Kluyveromyces lactis: one gene and its partner. The protein of the gene in region 1 interacts with the protein of each later gene in a pairwise test. Links are inferred from orthologs where the notes say so. Each region holds a gene or a part of one and is shown on either strand. Other genes may lie near its edges.

What was found. The genes of interacting proteins can lie anywhere in the genome.
Region 2: the proteins of VPS21 (region 1) and VPS9 interact in a two-hybrid assay, tested with the Saccharomyces cerevisiae proteins (3 studies listed by BioGRID, with this or other methods). The link is inferred for Kluyveromyces lactis from reciprocal best matches to the Saccharomyces cerevisiae genes VPS21 and VPS9.

What each region holds. Positions count from the first base shown.
Region 1 is NC_006039.1:1,172,023-1,174,541, forward strand, and holds VPS21 (Rab family GTPase VPS21), read left to right. Parts: upstream 1-1,306; coding exon 1,307-1,933; downstream 1,934-2,519. Other genes in the region: type 2C protein phosphatase PTC5, read left to right, coding at 1-896; KLLA0_C13750g (S-adenosylmethionine-dependent methyltransferase), read left to right, coding at 2,303-2,519.
Region 2 is NC_006040.1:867,458-870,706, reverse strand, and holds VPS9 (guanine nucleotide exchange factor VPS9), read left to right. Parts: upstream 1-1,262; coding exon 1,263-2,576; downstream 2,577-3,249. Other genes in the region: KLLA0_D10285g (putative asparagine synthase), read right to left, coding at 1-953.

The sequences.
Region 1 (2,519 bases):
AATCATTACCTGCTGTGTCTGGTGCTTGCAGTCTTTTGTCAATGTACGATTCAAATAACTGCACGTTGAAGGTAGCAGTAACCGGAGATTCACGTGCTATTTTGGTAAAACAGTCTGACGATGGTGCTTGGACTGTAAAATCCTTAAGTACCGATCAGACTGGTGATAATGTACAAGAGGTCGAGAGAATCCAGAAGGAGCACCCTGATGAACCAAACTGTGTACGTCAGGGTAGAATACTAGGATCTCTCCAACCTTCAAGGGCTTTTGGTGACTACAGGTACAAAGTGAAAGAGATAAATGGGAAAACCGTTTATGATCTACCTGACCATTTGAAGATATATTTCAGGAGGGAACCTAAAGATTTCTTGACACCTCCTTACGTAACAGCAAAGCCGGAAATAACCACAACAAACGTGGACCCTAAAACTAAATTCATGGTTTTAGGATCTGATGGTCTTTTCGAGTTGTTGAGTAATGACGAAATCGCAGGTCTCGTTGTGAAATGGATGGAATCACATCCTATCAAAAAGAATTTCAAAATGTTGAAGGAACAATCTCCACAAGGTAAATTACCAAAGCTAGAAGACATCTCCCCAGACAAAGAAGCACAAAGGCCTGCTTTTAGGTACCAAAGCTCCAAAAAACCTGACTCTAAGAGCGAATATCTCATGCAAGACGAAAACGTAGCAACTCATCTAATCAGAAACGCTCTCAGTGGAGGCGGTAACAAAGAATACGTTTCTACATTGGTCAGTATACCTCCAACGAAGAGTAGACGTTACAGAGACGACTTGACTGTCACCGTTGTCTTTTTCGGTGAAGAAACTGAGGGCATTGATGGTAAATTAGAACTCAACCACAAAGCCACCAAACCAGAAGAATCTAAACTCTGAACCCGCAGTCTTAGCATAAAAGTGTTGTTATTTAGTTAAATAACCGTTTTTGACACTTATATAAACACACTGATTCGAAGGAAGGTTCACCAAGCACGTGACCTACTATCAACATTCAAAAGCCTTGTTTTCGTTATGGGAAAAGATACTAAAACTAAATAAAACTAAAAAAAGGATGAACGATGCTCCCTACTTTTATTGAAACGTAACGTTTACAACCGGAGTAGCAGATTGCTCTATCGGTAACAAGAGTGTACGAATTAGTTTTTGAGATTGTAGACAGACACATTTTCTTCTAAACAATCTCTCGAGCATACAGTCATCATATTAACCAACTTTCGAAGAAGAAATCTTGATTTACCTGGTCGTCATTGATATTAAGGTCATTTTCAGTTGTAAGGTACTAGGAAATGAATTCAAACGTTACGTCTATCAAGTTGGTACTCCTAGGAGAAGCTGCGGTGGGGAAATCTTCCATTGTTTTGCGCTTTGTGTCCAATGATTTTGCTGAGAATAAAGAACCCACTATTGGAGCAGCCTTTCTAACACAGCGAGTAAATATGGCTGACCACACAATAAAGTTTGAAATCTGGGATACTGCTGGTCAGGAAAGATTTGCATCGTTGGCCCCAATGTATTATAGAAATGCTCAAGCAGCTTTAGTGGTTTATGATGTAACAAAGCCGCAGTCATTTATCAAGGCTCGCCACTGGGTAAAAGAATTACACGAACAAGCGAGCAAAGGGATTGTAATCGCATTGGTTGGAAATAAGATGGATTTGTTGGAATCTGAAGAGGATAGGAAAGTAGCCAAAGAAGAGGCTGAAAAATTGTCACAGGAAGAGAACCTTTTATTCTTCGAGACTAGCGCTAAGACTGGTGATAACGTCAACGAAGTGTTCTTGGCCATTGGAGAGAAAATACCCTTAAAGAAGTCGGATGGGTCCAATACCGATGGGTTACGTGGAACAGAAGATGGAAGGATCGACTTGAACAAACCCGATGATACCTCGAATCCCAACTCATGTGGTTGTTAATACTCACGACCCTATCCTCTTTTTAGGGGAAATGGCCTAACGAAATGATTCATATTAACAATCGATGAAATTAATTTTAACCAGAGGAAAGGAGCCAATAGAACAAGATATCTACCGTGCCTATAATATTCCAATATCATCATAGTAGAAGTTTAAGATAACCAGTAATACATAAATCAGTTAGATTTACATTTTTTGTACCTACATTTTATTTCTATATATATTGGCGTAGTGAATTTTTCGGATCCCCGTATTGATCGATTATTCATGAATTCAATCATAGAGAACTCTATTCAGGTAATGAGATGTATGAATGATGATACATGCGTGATGAAACTCTAAAGGATTCAACCTGGGTTTTAAATTGTCATGGATGGCCAAGATGAGGAGAATGATGTGCTATTATTGGAGCGTACTGCTAGCTCGTTTTTTCGTTACAAGGAATTTGCGTTAGAAGAGTTCTGGCGACCCAGAATACTTAGGTGGGAATCACTGTCCGAGCATCAGAAACAAATGATACCATGGTATAACTCATATCTTGAGGATGTACATGATGCGATCGAAACAAACTCCATTTTTTACATGA
Region 2 (3,249 bases), on another chromosome or scaffold:
AAAAGTTGTGCAGATTTTATTGCTAATATTCTGTCAGGCGAGTCTGATGGCATTTTACCAGTTCTAGGATTTTCAAAACCAACATTCAGAAGCTCAATTATCGTTTCAGAATTCCTATTAATTTTAATGAGTTGTTCACACAGTAGTGCTGTGATTACGGAACAATCTAATCCACCAGAAAATAAAATGCTAATATTTCCGTTTTCCAAATGCATAGGATGAATTGTAACTATTCTTTGGTATACCGATCGTCTAAGGCACTCGTACAATTTAATCTTATACTCTTCTAATAATTGGAAATCATTATCAATCTGGTCGGAGACTATGTATGGCTCATCGTGAATTTTAACGGAACCTGTGAGTTGTTTAGTATTAATATCAAAGATATAAATGACACCGGCTAGACAGTTCTGGAAACCGTCACATCTTCCACTTACACTGGTAATATATAGCTCATCATCAAGTAATATGTAGCTCAAGCTTCGCTTACCGATGCTATCTCTCCCAAAATATACCTTTCGTTCTTGAAGATCAGTAATTGCGTACGCAAATTCTCCATAACATTTCCTTACTACCTCTTCAACAGAATGCTTTTCCAAAAGTGAAGAAATATATTCCGTATCACTGTGTTCACAATTTTCAACAGTATCATCATTATACAGTTCCCCGTTATACTGTAGAAGGTAACGATCTTGTACCATGACGCTTTGTTTCGTGAATGGTGTTCTTAAAGATAATACAGATGAGAACAACATAGCATTAATTTCAGATAACGATCTCAATGACGCATAGTTTGGACCTCTTCTCACGATATACGGTATCAGTTCATTAAATAACGTATTACTATTACATGACTGTATTGGTCCTGTTAGGTCTTTCTCGTATAGTTCTTGGAATTCATCAGTAAGAGTTGATCCAAATGATTTACCAAAATATGCCAAAATACCACACATACCAAACTAAAAGCGACCAACTCAAGTAGCTTATTGTACTCTAATTGAAGTATAACAACTCTACATGTAAAGCTTTATTACCAGAGGGGTCCACCTGAGATGAGATATATGTATATTGACAACTTTTTTTTTTAATTTTTCAGGCTGCCAAACCTTTAGAAATAAATCAAACATGTAAATAAAGAACAAGATTGACTCTTGATCGAGAACGCCATTTTACGAAAAGAACCCTAGCGAATCGTAAATGGTTTCGAACCAACAGCGAAACTGTTTTTTACATTCATAGAGGGTGACATCTGTTTATCCCAAATGGACGCAGACGACGATAAAGGATTCAATGCTTCTCCAGAGACAATTTCGGAGAAGCCATTAGCTGACGTAGGGGAAAACTTAGATGAAAAGAATAATTACTATGACTTTCAAGCATTTCTCAAGATAATGCGAGACCCTAAGGCAGATCCTATTGTCAAACATACCAAATCATTTATTAGGAATTTTGTAAGCCAACGAGAAAACTGGACAACATCTGAACAAGAGAAGCTCATTAATGACTTTAAAGTTTTCATATATGATAAACTTCTGACAAATGAAGCCTTCAGAGACCTCAGTGATGCGCAGATAAAGAATGCTAAGGAAGGAATAGAGAAATTAGTGATGGGGAAACTTTATTATAAGTGTTTTTCTCCTTGTCTAGTGAACGAGAAGAGAAGTTCAGATGCTACGCATGAACAGGATCTTTTAGATGACGCCAAGTTAAGGGACAAAATCTTAGAGTTCAGATTCCTTGGCCCAGAACATTTGGATATCATTCCGGATTTGATCAACGGAAAACTTCACAGTTTCATAGCACTTTCCGCAAAAGAACTGGCCAAAATCAACCAGTATCGCTCCCCTAGAGATAAAATGGTTTGTGTTCTAAACTCATGTAAAGTTTTATTCGGGCTTTTGAAACACAATAACAAGTTGAATGGTGGTGCGGATCACTTTGTACCATTGTTAATATTTACTTTGCTCAAAAGCGATGTCCCTCATCTTATCAGCAACGTTCGTTACATTGAAAGATTTAGATTTCCATCGTTCTTGATGGGAGAAAACGCATATTATTTAAGCACCTTACAAGGAGCGGTCAATTTCATTCTAGATATGGATATAGATTCGATCAGCATCTTAGAAACGGATAAAGACTTCAACAAGAAATATTCTCAGAATCAGGAGGAAATCAAGGATCTTAAAAAGCAAGAACTTCTAAATCCAAAGGATTCATCTACCAAGTTCCCACACCGTACTGTGTCACCTTCGCCAAGTGAGTATATACTCAAGCCGCTTGATGATGCTGCAAATTCAGTGCTAACTAAACTCAACGACTTTTGGAACACAAGTACTTCTCCAACACCCTCTTCACCAGAGTATGAGGATAGATCTCCCAGAGATCATCAAGAGATCGACGAACATACAGCCACCGTTTTGGCACAACAGATGGAGCATAAAGAGCAAGAAAATACACTTCAAACATTACAGTTGATGTTTCCGGATTTAGACCCAGATCTTATTCGAGACGTATGCATAGCTAGCAAATACAGAGTCGGTGTTTGCGTAGACTCATTGTTAGAAATGGCAGAATGATTATTAAACATTTCTTTGGGCGATTTATTAATAATTTCAGCCATCTGAATTATACATTGGAGATCCAGTAGCATGCTCAAGAGAAATCGTTTAAGTGTTAATACTGGTAGTGAATTGTTAATGTATCCTCACAATATCAACACCAGCACTGTCCGTATTAGTTACATTTTGTGCAATGCACTTATATAGAACTTACATTTAGTACCTTCACAAAGGGGAAGCTGCCCCCGACGAATGAGATAGTGATTGTAGTTTCATCAAGTTTCCATCTATTCGCCACCAGTGCCACCTATGCATGACCATACCTCCCATGGAATTTCCAATCGTTTCGAAACTGTCATGTGACGTTTTTTCAAAATACATATTGACGTGTTCAATCGTTAAGAAATACAATCTACGTATGCTAAAATAGCGATAATGCCCATGGGTTCCCGCACTAAAAGAAAGACTCTTTCACTTCACAAGCTTCCTCCTTAGTCATCTACCGTGAGTGGTATATGTGTTCATAACAAAAATGCTCCGGTGCTTATTCACCTATACTGCCTGTAGTAAAAGTGTCACTTGATGATTCCCATTCCACTTTTTCTTTTGAGCCAAAAGGTACCCTAGAAAGAAGAAAAGAGAAAATAAAATCGGTTAATTTATATAAGGCTAAGATTCAATCATTTGATTT